Notamacropus eugenii: one gene and its partner. The protein of the gene in region 1 interacts with the protein of each later gene in a biochemical or structural test. Links are inferred from orthologs where the notes say so. Each region holds a gene or a part of one and is shown on either strand. Other genes may lie near its edges. The genes, in order: UPF2 and UPF3A.

What was found.
Region 2: the proteins of UPF2 (region 1) and UPF3A form a complex in vitro, tested with the Homo sapiens proteins (2 studies listed by IntAct, with this or other methods). The link is inferred for Notamacropus eugenii from reciprocal best matches to the Homo sapiens genes UPF2 and UPF3A.

The regions. Positions count from the first base shown.
Region 1 is NC_092874.1:170,054,749-170,062,650, forward strand, and holds the start of UPF2 (regulator of nonsense transcripts 2), read left to right. Parts: upstream 1-4,809; 5' UTR 4,810-5,205; exon of another isoform or gene 5,206-5,371; intron 5,372-5,497; exon of another isoform or gene 5,498-5,679; intron 5,680-6,763; 5' UTR 6,764-6,822; intron 6,823-7,902. UniProt on the Homo sapiens protein: Involved in nonsense-mediated decay (NMD) of mRNAs containing premature stop codons by associating with the nuclear exon junction complex (EJC).
Region 2 is NC_092877.1:206,134,126-206,141,495, reverse strand, and holds the start of UPF3A (regulator of nonsense transcripts 3A), read left to right. Parts: upstream 1-4,122; 5' UTR 4,123-4,181; coding exon 4,182-4,508; intron 4,509-6,933; coding exon 6,934-7,040; intron 7,041-7,370. UniProt on the Homo sapiens protein: Involved in nonsense-mediated decay (NMD) of mRNAs containing premature stop codons by associating with the nuclear exon junction complex (EJC) and serving as link between the EJC core and NMD machinery.

The DNA of each region.
Region 1 (7,902 bases):
TCAACTTCCTTTCCTCTCACTGTGTTCTTAATTCTCTGCAGTCTGGTTTTCAGCCTCATTATTTAACTGAAACAGCTCTTTGCAAAGTTACCAATGCTCTCTTAACTGCCAAATCTAATGGCCTTTCTTCAATCCTTGATCTATCCTTAGGCTTTGCCACTAGTAAATCACCCTCTTTTCCTCCATAGTTTCTTTTCTCTAGGTTAAGACATCATTCATTCCTGGCTCTTTATCTAGACCATGTCCACTAAGGATGAGTGTCCTCCTATAAGCTTCTATCCTGAGCCCTCTTTTCCCCTATGCTATTCTATTTGGTGATCTCATCAGTTCTCATGGATTCAATTATCACCTCCAGCCACAGCTGGGTGGCACAAAAAATATAGAGTGTTGGACCCGGAGTAAAGAAGCCCTGAGTTCAAATCTATCTTCAAACATTTGTTACCTTTGCGATCCTGGGCAAGTCACTTAATGTCTGCCTGTCTCAGTTTTCTCAGCTGTTAAATAGGAATAATAATAATAGCATGAAATATAATAATGATAATCCTGACCTCCCAGAGTTGTTGAGAGGATAAGATGAGATATTTATAAAGCACTTATTTAAGCACTGTGCCTGGCACATAGCTGGTACTTCATAAATGTTAATTGATTGATTGATTGCTAGGGGTTTTCAGGGTGTTGTTCTAGACTCTCAGTCTCCAGCTTCCACTTTAACTTAGTGTTGCTTAGCTTGGGTATAAATTAACCCTGCCACCCTTCTCTAGTGATCACAAAAATCTGATTCCTTTTGTTTAAATATAATATTCTTTTTTTTTAAAGGCCTGAGCAGAATGCATTATGAAAAAAAGCAGGAGTAGCAATCATGATCTCAGACAAACTTAAAGCCAAAATAGATCTAATTAAAAGAGAACGATAGGGAAATTACACTATGTGTCTGCAATATTGTTTTAGAACATTTAAAATAACTAGACAACATGAAATACCTGAGAGTATACCTGTCAAAACAGACACAAGAACTATATGAACATAAACATAAAACTTTTTTTATACAAATAAAGTCAGATCTAAAAATTGAAGTAATATTTATCATTCATGGGTAGGTAAAGCCAATATAATAAAAAAACCGACAATTCTATCTAATCTATTTATTTAGTGCCATTTCAATTAAATTACTAAAAAATTATCTTAGTGTTAGAAAAAAGAATTACAAAGTTCATTTGAGAGAACCAAAGGTCAGGAACCTCTTTTTAGATGTAAAGGATGCTGATTCAGCAGCGTCAGACCTTAAACTATATTATAAGGTGAGAGCATTGTTGAAGTGTAAAATAAATAATTTTTATTATTCTAAGTTAAAATTTTCTTGTATAAATAAAATCTATGCAGCCAAGAATAGAAAAGGAGGGAAAAACTTTCACAGACAATCTTTCAGATAGTATGTGGTTGGGTGGAATATTGTTGTGGTGTAGGAAATCATGAGCTGGTTAATTTAGAAAAACATGGAAAGACTTGGACTTATGAAGATCCTATACACCTTCAGAGAAATAGATGGTAAGTAGTAATATGCCTAGTACGGTCTTCATATATATATATGTGTGAGTGGCTATGTGTATATATGCGTGTGTGTGTGTGTGTGTGTGTGTGTGTGTGTGTGTGTATGTTCATCCTTCATTGCCGAAGAAGACCATGCCATCAGAGAAATAATGACATGACTTGCACTTGACTTTGTTTTGAGTGAGGGAGGGCTGTGCAGGTCACCAGTCCCACTTCTCCTCCAGAGCCATCTGAATCCAGTGACCAGATATTCAACCAGATATTTAGGATGACTGGAGATGACCTAGAATGAGGCAATTCAGGTTAAGTGACTTGCCTAAGGTCACACAGCTAGTGAGTGTCAAGTGTCTGAGGTGAGATTTGAACTCAGATCCTCCTGACTCCTGCACTGGTGCTCTATCCACTGCACCACTTAGCTGCCCCATCCCACCAACGTACTCTGTGATTGAATATACTGTCTTCTTCACTGTTCCTAGCTCAAGACACTTAATCTTTAGATATCAAGCGTTTTCACTGGCTATGAAAATTATATTTTTTGTGGCATTTCCTTTTTCCCCACTTAATAGTACATTTTTTCTAATTACTTGTAAAGATAGTTGTCAATATTCAATTGTATAAGATTTTGAGTGGCAAAAAGCACCTCAATGATGGGGGATGAGGAAGAAGCAAGAAGGAGTTCATAGTAAATGGCCTCGATGTTTTTCTATAAAATATATGGCACGGTTCTCAGCTGAAAGTGGGGGGGAATGGAGGCCATGGGAAGTTTAAGAAGGGATAAGTGTTGGGAAGAACTTCTCTGGAGAGTGGGATAGAGGGTTGATAAGGGAAGTATAATAGGATGGCTCAATAGCAGTAAAAACCCGAATAAGATAAACATAACATAAATTTGTAGTGGATCCAGTCAGAATCAGTGTGAGATTTTCTCCACCTTCACTCAGCAATGGTGGGAGTGATCAGTAATATAATAAGGGGATTAAAAATTCAAGAGAGGAAGACGGAGTAGAGTTGAATTGCTTCACCAAGGGGAAAAGATGGGGAAAAGAAGAAAGAATGGTGAATGCAGAGAAGATAGCCTGAGAAAAAATTGAGGGGCTGAGGGATTGGAGGCTACTCTGTGGACAAAGAGTAATATTTTGTAAGGAAAGGCAGAGGAAAAGGTGAAAAGCCAATGGCTTATAGTTGTATATGGAGATTTCAGAGTTCTGGAACAAAGATGTAGTACTTTTGTGGGTAATAGTACCCATATTAGTGTGCGGCTGAAGTGGGATAGAGGAGTAGTAACTTGTAGGAAGTAAGTGGCACGAATATTGCATATATTGTCCAAAAAAGAGTAAGTGTGTTAGTTTTGACAGTCTTTTTTATTGTTTGTTTCTTTTTAAATCTTTGTTTCAAGGGTTGGTTCCATTAGGAAGGTGAAAATGAGCAAAAAGAATATTGTGATTATAAAACTGCATATCCTTTGATGCAGCAATACCACTGCTAGGTCTGTATCCTAAAGAGATCATAAAAAGGGAAAAAGAACCATATATACAAAAATATTTATAGGAGCTGTTTCTGTGGTGGCAAAGAACTGGAAATTGAGGGTATACCCATCATTTGGGAAATGACTGAACAAGTTGTGGTATACAAATGCAATTGTATACATAAAAAACATAAAATAATGAGCAGGCAGATTTCAGAAAAAGCTGGAAAGGCGGGAACCGATGTGGAGTGAGATGAGCAGAACCAGAATATTGTACACAGTAACAGCAACATTGTGCGATGACCAACTTTGATGGTCTTGGCTCTCCTCAGCAATGCAATGATCTAAGACTACTGCAAAAGACTCATGTTGGAAAATATGATTGACATCCAAAGAAAAAACTACAGAATCTGAATGCAGATTGAAGTATACTATTCTCTCTCTCTTTTTCCTTTCTCGTGGTTTTCCCCTTTTGTTTAGATTTTTCTTTCCCAACATGACTAACGTCTAAATAAATTTAATACGACTGTGCAAGTCTATATAGCCTATATCAGATTGCATGCCATCTTGGGGGGAGGAAGAGGAGAGAGAGGGAAAAATCATTAGTGCCCCATCATTGCTAGTCAATAAATTAAGTGCTTACTATGTTCCAGGCACTGAACTAAGTGATGGGCACACAAATATCTGCAGAGATAGACCCTGACCTCAAGGAGTATACAATCGAATGGGGCAAGAAGCACAAAAGGAAGCTGAAAATTGCTCTCCAGAATGGTTAGATCAATTCACAACTCCACTAACAACGCCTGAACGTTCCAGTTTTCTCACATCTCCAACATTTATTTTTGTTTTGTCCTATTAGCCAATCTGATAGGTGTGCTGTGGTACCACAGAGTTGTTTTAATTTGCATTTCTCTAATCAATAGTGATTTACCACATTTTTTCACATAACTACAGATAGTTTTAATCTCTTCATTGGAAAACTGCCTGTTTATATCCTTTGACCATTTATCAGTTGGGGAACAGATGAGTTTCTTGAAGCATGGTGGAAAGACCCAAAGAAGTCCAAAAGCAGCATAGCTGATCGGACATTGTCCTCATAGATCGTGTTCCCATTTTTGACTGCAGAACCCGGTCATTTTATGTACACACCACTTTTAATACAATAGGGAAGGTTTGTTGGGAAATTAAATATGACACTGCAAACAGCCAAAGGCTGGAAATCCCACCATTAAGTTAAGAACTGAAAGCGCAGAAAGGTGCCTTCATAAGGCACTCCAACACTCATAACAGACGTTTCGCTTCCTCAAGTCTCCCTGAAACCAGGACATTGGTCAGGTGACGTAAAGCTTTTCAAAAGTTAAGGGGTGACGTGAGCATGCTCGATAGGCCAGGGAGGTCTCATGGGAATTTTTCAGAAACAAACCTATTTAACCTGGTTCTTTCCAAGAATGGCGTGGGTACTGACACTCCTCCTATTTGGGAGAGTGGAGGATTTTTGGGCGAAGATTTAAAAATTCCTTTGTTTATTTTCGCCGCCCCTTTCCCTTCGAATCCTTAGGGAGCTAAATCTGTTACAATATCTCCTATGTTCCAATGAGTAACTCCCTTCCCAAAGCCCAGATCTTTCTTCTCCTCCTACCGTCACTAAACTTTTTTCTTTTCAAACCTTAACCCTTAAGTTCCTATCAAACTATCTTCAACTTTGTCCCCAACGTTGTCCCGTAGTTGCTTTTGACTCCTCCCACCCAGGGCCTCATGTCCCAGTTCTCACCCCCTCCTTAGGTGAGGCTGCGCCTGCGTACTTGTCTTTCCTGCTCTCCCTTTCCTGGTGACCAACCCACTTCCTGTCTCTCAGCCGTCAGAACGCTCCTCCTTTCCTTTGCTGGGGCCCCGGGTTGAGGAGGTGGTAGTGGGTGGAGAGAGGTGGAGGAGGTTGTCCTGGACATCGCCTGTCTGAAAATCCCACTTGTCTCTCTCTCGACCCTTCCCAGGCAGCAACCTGAACTTGTCAGGATGGGGTGGTTCGGATTTCCGTAGAGAACCTGAAGGTCGCCATCTAGGAACCAAGGAGCGGGTGGTGGGTAACCACCCGCAAGCTGGAGGGCCGGGAGACTTTCGTTCAGGCAATCGCGAGGACAGCTTCTTCCTGCCACCTCCCTCCGCCCCGCCCCCACCCGCAGTTCGGGTCCGCGTTGGTGAGTGGCGGGCGGGAGGGCCAGCGGGCGGGGGGAGGGAGGGGGAGCCGAGGGGAAGGCGGGTCCTCGTCGGGGAGATAGGTGAGGGGGGGAGGGGAGAGAGGAGAGCCGGAGCGGTAGAGTTGGTGCTGGGAAACGCGGGGCTGATGTTGACAACAGGCGAGAGGTGAGTACTGGGGACGGAACCTTTTCCCTCTCTACATTCGCCCTCAGCCCTGGAGGCAGGAGGCGGGGGCTAGAGGGAGGGAAACCTGCCCTCCCAGCTCCCTGGGGCGGGCAGGCGGGGGGGGGGGGGGGGAGGGACACGAAGAAGGCGCCTCCCCCCACCCCCCATACCTTAGCTCTCTGTGGGGACCGCGGAAGGGACGGAGGCGACGGGCTCGCCCTCCGCCGGCCCCCGCCCACCGGAGGAGGGGAAGGAGGGGGTGCGCGCCCCTCGGAGCCTGGGCCGGGCCGAGGGCTGGAGGTGGAGAGGTCCGAGGGAGTTGGGGGGCGTGGAAGGGGCAGAGCGGAGGGGCGATTTTCGGTTTTCTTTGGGGGGGGTTGTTGGGGGACGGGAGTGCTTCGAGCCGTCTCGGTGCCGGGGTGGGCATGAGGTGTGCGGCGGGTGTGTGAGCAGGTGGAGGTGCCCGTGTCCTGGGCCACGAGTGAAGCGAGGTGTTGGAGGAGAGTGGGAAAAGAGAACAAAGTTTGCCGGGGCTAAGCCTGGCCCAAGGACGAGGGAGAAGGCGCGGGAGCCGGGAGCGGGCTGGGGGACAGCCGCGTCGGGGCGTGCGGGGGCCCGTGCAGGTGCCATTTGGGCTGACCTGGGGAGACCCCCTGCCCTCCCGAGGGCCTCCGCGAGACGTGTGCTCTTAGGAAGGTCTGTCACTGCAGGACTCCCCATGGACCGCCTTTATCTTGGAGCGTCTTCGCCCTCCTTGGCCTACGAGGGAAAAGTGGGCTCTGCGGAATAACTCGAGAATCGAAAGCGAGTCTGAGAGACTCCCCCTTCTTTTTATCGGCTGGGACTTTGTTCTAGTCTTGTTAAGTGTCGAAGTTTGGGGGGAACTTAAAGACCTTTACATTGCACTAGCATGGGTGACACTTGCACGCGCACACACACACACAATCAACCCCTTTTAAATAAACTCTTGTGACTGCTGTTATTCTTTAACGTATAGAAATTATTGGCAGGAAGCAGATTTGTTGGGCTTGTGTACAAATACTACCCTTAGACTAGAAGAAGGTGAAAACTTGGGAACAAAGGTAAACCAATATTCTCTCAGTGACTTCTAAAGAGTATTCTTAGAGCACTAATTTTATATTTTAACCTGTAATCCAGTTCTCAAAAGGAAAATGATATCTATCATATTTTCTTTGTTCCTTCTAGGGAAGTAGGTAGTGAGGTGCTTTGTGCTATTGAGTGAATGCTAGCAAAGTAATAACTTCCAAATGTTAATTAATACGTATGTTTCAAGACTTCCCTGTCCACAGTTGGTAATAGCTCACTTTGATCCTGCACTTGAAGGTTTTGAAGTACTTTCCTCATGTAAGAATTATTATCTCCATTTTACAGATGAGGAAACCCAGGCACAGAAAGGTTAAAGACATTGCCCAGGGTCACATAACTAGCTAGTAAGTATCTCTGAGCTGGGAGTTGAACCAGGTCCTCTGATTTTTCAGACCAATGCTTTTTCCATTACTTTAGGCTGTCTTCTCACAAGTGGAAAACCTGCCTTTTCAAATACTTTATTAGAAACCAGGTACCAAAGACATTTTTGGGTGACATGGATAATAGTAGTGGTACCTGAATAATACTGGTACCTGTATCATAGATTTAGAGATAGAACAGTCATTTAATTCAACCCTTTTTAAGGAAACTGGGTCCCCAAGAGCTATATGAATTCTCACAAGTACTAGAAGCAGAGGCAGAAATTGAACCCAGGTCCCAACTCCAAATTTCTTTCCACTGTTCTGAACTGCCTTTGTGAATGGAGAGCTCTCAGACAATGCAGTTCTATTTTCATGATCATTCTGCTGCTTCAGTAAAAGGATTTAACATTTTTCTTCAGTTATTTTTAATACTTATTGTAAACTTTTCTAGCATTTTTACCTGATCTAAGTAGTGAATTACAGAATCTTAGAATAATTTCAGCAATATATGGAAAGTAATGTAGTATATGGGTGAATTTTTTTTTTAAGCTAAAATGTTAAAGCAACACTTGGTTTGGATCAAGTGGGTTTTTTTTCACTTGACTTTCTAAATATGGGAGATAAATTAGTATAGTGGGAAGAGCATTGGATGGGAAGTCAGGCGACTTAGGTTTTAGTTCTGGTACTGCACCTTTAACTGGCTTTAGTCATCTTTTAACTTCCCTGGGTCTCTTATCTCCTGGGCTAAAATTGAAGGAGTTTGACAAGTTGATTTCCAAGATCCCTTCCAGTTAAAATAAAAGTTTGATTAAACTTTTATTGTGCTTAAAAATTTCTGTCCACCATCTCGTTTATATAGATAATTGAGCTTTTATCTGAACTTTTTGTAGTAGGTAAATTTGCTAATGACTCATTTTAAATATTAACTTTTAGTACTAGGACAAGTAAGTGAAAAAATGTTTACTAAATATTATTAAATCATGCTACCAAATTAATTAAATTATAAATATTATTATTATATATTAAATGGTTATGTGCCAACCACTGTGCTAAGCCCTGAAG
Region 2 (7,370 bases), on another chromosome or scaffold:
CTTAGTTTTCTTAAGGAAAAAAATGGAAATTTTTATGGTCACAGAAGCTGTTGCTGTTGAAATGGTGATAACATATGCCAGTTATATGTCTGGTAGAAACCACAAGCTTTTCTTTGGATAAGCATTTCTTTCTTGGGTACTTTTTTGGACAGAAATAAAAGACTGGGGTATAATGCATCCCAAGATGAAGTCATTCACATCTACAGTTGACACTTGGTCAGGAGTTAATATAACTTTGTTTTGGTCGTGGAAATTTAAGATACCAATATCAAGAAACATTGACAAAACCAATTTAGTTTCCAGAAAACATCACCATCCTTTAAGCTCTTTTCCCTGAAGGAGGAAGATTCCGCTGGTGCTCCTCTTTTAATTGCTTCTTTTAAAAATAATTCATTAAAATGTATTTTAAATGGAAAGAAACTATGATATCACAGGCATATTCAAATCATATTTTAAGATTGGGGAAGAAGAGTTTGGTCTGTGAGGTCTAAAAAGAGTAAATTGTTTCATAATTATTAACATTATTAATAGCAAAAAAAAAAAAAGGCAGTTAAAAAGGCAATGTGATAAATGGAGAGGAAAGGACGCAGGACTTAGTTTAAAGGCCTGAGTTCAAACCTCTGTTATGACATTCAAAGGGTGTCCCTATACAAATCACTTCTTCCTTGAGTCTCCATTTCCCCACTGTAAAATAGGGATGGATGAAAGCATTATATAAGCCAGGAATCACAACACAAACATGAGTTGCCATATGTTTTTTGGGAATTGAGATTATGAAGACAAAATAAACTCTTTTGCTTTCCCAGCCATTGTGATTTCTCCACCACATTGTCCGACAGGACTTGCAAAAAGTTCCTTGTCAAGAAGCAGAAGCAGAATTGTCTCATTCATTTAGTGGATTTGTATGAAAACTGATAAGATAACTTAGGAGAAAGTAAAGCATAAACTGGCTTAAGAACAGCTGGCATGACAACATCAATAAGCACCTAATATATGCTAAGCATTGTACCTGGTTTCCAGAAATACAGACAAAAACATTACCTGACCTCAAGGAGCTTAAATTACATTAGAGGAAACCTGTATATATAGAGAAGCATGTGCAAAGTAAATATAGTAAATATATTAAGTCATAGGGTCATAGATTTAGATCTGGAAGAGACCTTAGAAGCCATCAAATTCAGTCCCTTGATTTGACTGGTAAAGAAACTGAGGCATAGAGAGGTTTTAAATGACTCCCAGAATCACATGGTTATTACATGTGGGAGGCAGGGGTGGAGAAGAGTAGCACTGAGTCTAGCAATTTATCCACTGTGCCATCTTTGCACCCTGGCTTTCTTAGAAACCCAGAATAAGCCTGACCCCCAGCTAGAGGTTCAGTGACCTTGGTTTACATGGGCATGGTGCCCCCCACTCTGAACCCTTTCCCCTCGTTATTTAAAACATGCTTGTTTCCAAAGCATTTGATAAGTAGCAGCATGAATTCTGTCCTCACAACGGTGACTTTTCAGAATACTTCCGCACCTGTCATTTAAGAGGACCTGGGTTCAAATCCTGTCTCTGCTACTTGTATGACCTGGAGCAAGTTACTTGACTTAACCTCCCTGGGTTTCAGTTTACTCACTGGCAGAAATGAGGGAATTGGACCCAAAGACCCTTCTAGTTCTAGTTCTGTGATTCTCATCAAGAACTTGAGAATTTAGCTTCTCATAATAATGAGGCAGTTAAATTAAATACAGAATATTCACACTAAAAATATTTACCCCTAGCATAGACCTGGAAGGGACTCTAGAGATCATTTATTTCAATCCTCTCATATTACAGATAATGAAACGTAAGCAGCCAGAGGAGTAGTGACTGGTCAAGGGCACAAGCAAGACTTGTTCCTTGGTCTCTCCTCTACAGGCACTGCAGGATACTTGAAGTGTTAGCTTTTTTGAAAGGGTAGTCTGATCCATCTATTCTTTTAAGCTTTTTGCCATAAGACCAGCAGTAAAGAAGAAAATGCTTTCACTGCTCACTTCTCTTTAGATACAACGTGATTCTTTTCCATGAAGTGAGCATATCAGACACTTGACCGTTCAGAGCACTTGAAGACATTTCTTTTTGAACTCTCAAATCACTCGTCCATCAGGTTATGAAGGTTGTGTTTGGTAGGCAGAAAGCCTTAAACAAGTCTGCGTTGTGGCTTGGCGATTTCATTTTTATCAGTATTCAGTGATCGGAGATGAGCTTTCTCTTTTCAGGTTCGTTTATATCAGTATTTAAAGTCACCCACAAATATTTATTTAGTTTCACCAGATAGTGCTGGGTTCTATTAAGGAACACAGAGGTATAAGACAAATGTCTACCTTCCCAGAGTATACAGTCTAGCTGAGGAAACAAAACACAACAATAAAAGTCGTGACTGCACAGGAGCGCCTGGTCCACACCAGAGTGCGCCGCTCCTTCTCTGGCCTCTTAGTCCTGTGCACGCTTTAATAGCTAATTCAAAGGACAGCTCCCCCAGAAGTCCTCCCGTGGTCCTTCCCAGACGGTCGTGGCGTTCCGCACTTCAGATTTCCTGCGGTCCTTTGTCTGGACCATGTTTGTGTCTGTACCCTGACCCTCTGCTTCTGGGTCGGGGAGCTACGTGCCTGTGTCCGTGGCACGGTGGAACATCCGCGTGCACACACGCCAGACGGTGCGGGGAGAGGGCGCTGGGCAGATTCGCCCCTCCGAGCCTCGGCTCCTCCCGTAAAGCTGAAGGAAGGCTGCTACCGAGGGCTGCTGTGAGCTCCCTAACCCGAGGCTGTGCTCGCAGGCGGCCCTTGTCTGTCCCGTCCGCGGTGCAGGCGCTCCGCTTTCACCTGGGGCTCCCCCGGTAGCCGCTCTGTACACGGACGCGGCCACGCAAACCTTCGTAACCCCGCGTGGGACAGAAAAGGGACGTTTTTATAGGGTTCTTTCGCTGACAAGATGGTGGAGCTGAGAGAACGTGAACTTGCCGTCGTGGGGACGGCCAGCGTGTGCTGCTCCCCGGGAGTCCCTCGTTACTTCCCACCTCGGACACGAGAGCCAAGGTCCGGCATCGCTTAGCGCCCCGCGGGGGACGGTCGCCTCCAAACGACCCACCCCAAGCCCGGAGCCGAGTGGGGACCACTCCAGCGGCCGCACGTTTGGAGAAGCCCTCCTCTTTAATTTGGGGCCAGGCGAACCCAGGTGCCGTGAGACTCGGCGGGGCGGTTCCGATTCTGTTCTGCAAGAAGGCTCGGAGCGCTTCCGCGGCCCCGGACCCTCCTTCGTCCGCGCGCCTCTTGTCCGGAGGGAGGTGCTGGCAGTGCAGAGATATCACTGCCGCAGACGCTGGAAAGCGTACTTGTAAAGATGACCAAAGCATTTATTAGCAGCCGCCTGTGTACAGGAAAAATAAACCGGTGGCCTTGATGTTTCTGGACGGCGCCCCCATGGTGGGCAGCGCCTGAGCGCCCCCTGGGGGGCTGCTGATGGCCATGGCCGTGGCTTTCCGGTCAGATGGGGGGGCTCGGGAGGGGGGGGCGGGATGCAGGCCTGAGGACCTTCCAGGGAGAACATGGGCTCGTTCTTAATACCCGGATCGCACACACCGAGGTTCCCATTCTGACAAGCCCGAGGCTTCTCTGCATTTTGATCTTTAGCCCCGCTCTCCCGGGGGCCTTGCCATTCCCTCCCCTACAGCCCCGAGCCAAGCCCAAGGACCCCGCACTCGGTGCGGGCGCAGCCCGAGCTCTGCGGGGGTCGCCTGGCCGGCCGCCCACGGCTCGGGAGACAGCAATGCGGATAGAGCGGGAACGTGCCTCCGGGTCCTGCGCGCAGGCGCACCAGCCCGCCCGGCCCCGCCCCGCCCGGCCGCACCCCAGCCCTTTTCATCTCCATGGACAGCGGCACCTCCGTGGTCTCGCGGTCCGCATCCCCTGAAACCGTCTGACCCCAGGCCTCTCTTTTCCGACGCGCTCCTCCTTCCCCCAACTGCCCTGACTCGTCCGTGTCCGCTCCTTCCCTCCATTACAAGGAAGGGGTGGACGGTCACCAAGAAGCACGGCTGGCGGGCGGGGCCGGAGGGGGGGGGGGGGGGTAGCGCGCGAGCGTAGGCGGAGATCTCGCGAGTCTTCCTGACACTCCCCGAACGGGCGGGAGAAAGAGCCTGAGGCTGCGGCGGGTGCGTGATGCGGTCCGAGAAGGAGGCAGCCAGCGGGGCCGGGGGCTCTGGCGTCGGCGGCGCCGGGCGGGGATCGGGCGGCAAGGAGAAGCCGCCATTGCCGCCGCCGCCGCCGCCGCCACCGCCACCCCTGCCACCGCCCCCGGCATCTTCCCGCGGAGGGACAGCGATGGAGATCCAGTTCCGCCGCGAGTCGCCTCGGCGCGAAGCGGAGACGCCTCCGACCGCCGTGTCGGCCTCGGGCTGCGGGGGTGGCGGAAGCAGCGGCGGAGGCGGCGGTGGCGGAGGAGGCGGCAGCAAGCCGCGGGAGGAGAAGAAAACGGTCCTGAGCAAGGTGGGGGGGCGCCTGGGGGGGAGGGGCGGCCGGGGCTCGCGGCCCGGGGTCGGCGGGGGAGGGTCTCGCGGCGGGAGGAAGGGACTGCGCGGAGGCGGCCGCCCCGGGAGGAAGGAGGAGGGAAGGAGGGACAGCGGACGAGCTTTCAGGACCGGGGAGAGCGCCCCGAGCCCGGGGCGCCGGCGGCCGTGGAGGAGGGGCGGAGGCGCAGCCCGGCGGGGCCGCCGTGGGAGGCGGCCGCGCGGGGGGCCGACCACCGGAGCCCCGGGCGGTCCTTTCCTCGTCTCCTCCCGAGCGTGACTTTGTTCCCTCCCTTAGGGCGAGGTGGAAGTCACCTCAGACATTTGGACTTGTAATTGTGTTTAAAATGAAAGTCGAACGTCGTTCCCCGGCGCCCCGCACGGTGGATATCAGTGGGCGGCGTGGCCGCTCCTCCCCACCCGCGCCCAGCCCGCAGCTTCACGAATGCGCGGGGCTCCGGGGACCGACAGACAAAGGGGAGAGACGCTCCGCCGGCCCCTAGGGGGCGGGCTGGCCCGGTCCGCCTGACGTCACCCTCCCCACGCCTCCTGCGGGAGAGTGGAGGCTGCCTGGGGGCAGCCCGGGGGCAGGGTCGGACTCGGAGAAGGCTGGCGGAGAGTTCGTGCTCCGCAAAGCGGTAAGTTCTGATCGACCCAAGAAGAGCTGCGAATGGCGGCATGACCTGAGAATGCGGCTTTAAAGTGACCGTGGAGAAGAAAACCGTCCCCGAAGAATGGTCCACTCATGCACCTGAGGATATTTTTAAGAGATGAATGTGCTACAGAGAACCAGAATAGTTACTTACAATGCAGGCTGGCTAGTTAAAAAAAAGAAGCCCAGTATTTCAGAGTTCCGAGGACCCAGGCTGGAAAGGGTTACGGGGAGGCGGCAGTCCAGTCCAGCCTGTACCGAAACAGGAGCCTCTTCCCCGACCTCCCGTAGAAGTCCTTCGCCAGGAGGAGCCTGAAGATCTCCACTGCCTCCCTAGGCAGTCCATCCTGGTTTTGAATGGTTAGGAAGCATCTGTTTCTCTCCGTCTTGGGTTGTTTCTAGTTCTGCCCTCTGGGCTCAAACGGAACAAGTCTAATCCCTCTTCCACAGAGTGACCCTTCAAACACTTGAACACCAGGTCTCATACATCTCCTAAGTAACCTCTTCTCCAGGCCAGGTGGCTCTGCTTCCTTCCACTGAACCTCCTATCTCATTCTTTCTCATCTCTTCTCCATCTTGATCACCACGCTGACCACTGTGTTCCATATTTACTCTTAACCAGGGCAGGCTACAGCGGAATGGCCTGCTTCCTGTTTGATCTCTTTTTGTCTTCATGCAGCCCAGAATCACACTGACTAGTCTGTGTATGTTCATCTTATTCCAAGGCTGTATGTGCCTAAATCTAGTTACCAACAAATACACTTTTAATTAGACTATCTTCTCTTACTCTGATCACCTAGTATTTTCCAATTTCATAATGTAATACAAATAAATGCATGTAGAGTGCAGAGAATGACAATTTTTTGTTGAAATAAGAAACAAAAAGTATTTTGGGGAAAGAAACACCTTGCAAAATAATCCTGAATTGATTCAAAGATTAGAAGCATCAAAGGAGCTTGGGCAGGTTACCTAACTCTCTGGGCCAAAGTTTCTTTGTCATTAAAGTAAAATTAGATGACCTTAGAGGTCACATATAATTCTAAGTCTATGGTACTGTGATCCTGTAAAGGTCTTGTTGGGTTGAATGGAAAGTGGATAACATTTTATATCTTCTTTCCAAACAAATGGAAAACCTAAATGACTAAGAGGACTGTTGAGAATTCAGTACTTCATATTTTTTGATTCAGTGATTTTTGTGTAAATGTTGGTAGTTATGTCCAGTCTGTAGCTATTATGCATAAAAAAGATACCTGTGTCTATTACAGAGGCAGTGTGGAATGTCGGATAGGGCCCTGAGCCTGAAGTCTGAAAGATTGTATTTCAAATCCTACCTCTGGTACCTGGGGGTTAGGTGCCCTTGGGCAAGTCTTTTAAACTCTTCTATTTCATAGTCTTAGGCACAGATCCTTCAGGTATTTATGTACTCTGTCCTGGCACAGAGCCTTCTTTAACAGTCTATCTCTTCTGTAGTAATGAAAAGGTTATAGATAGAATTCATTACTTAAGGAGACGTCTGAACCTCACTGAACAGCAGTGAAGTGTTTGTTTAAGCAACATCATCAACAGATTTGGAGACTAACAGCCTCTCTGCCTCTCATCTCCTAATACAGTCTTCATCCTTTCCTAAAATTTGTTGTTTTTGATTAACTCATAATCTGGACAGGAGCTGAGTCTATTTTATACGGGAATTAGAATGTAATTGGTACTTAAGAAAAGTAGTAAGTTTAATAACTTTTTTTCTTGTATTTTTCAGGTAGTTATTCGTCGACTTCCTCCCAGTCTTACCAAGGAGCAACTGGAGGAACAGTTACATCCACTTCCTGCTCATGATTACTTTGAATTTTGTACGGCTGATCCCAGGTGAGAAGGACCTATTTTTCAACACAAAGAAGCCAAGAAGTATATTGTCCAGTAATGAACAGTTACATAGAAAACAAAAATTTCTCCCCCTTCCTATAACCCCTTTCATATGTGTTCACAGTTCACTGTGCATATTTTCTGTATAAATTACCACTCTAAATTAGTAAATCATTTTTTTAAGCATGTGTTTCTTCATATATATCACTAGATAGTCATTTATTTCAGTTGTCCTGGAAGACATGGGAATGAATTCTTCCTCAGTAGTTGAATTTCTGATGACTATAAACAAAGGTGGAATCATGCTAAAATTATTTTTTCCCCTTTGGTGTT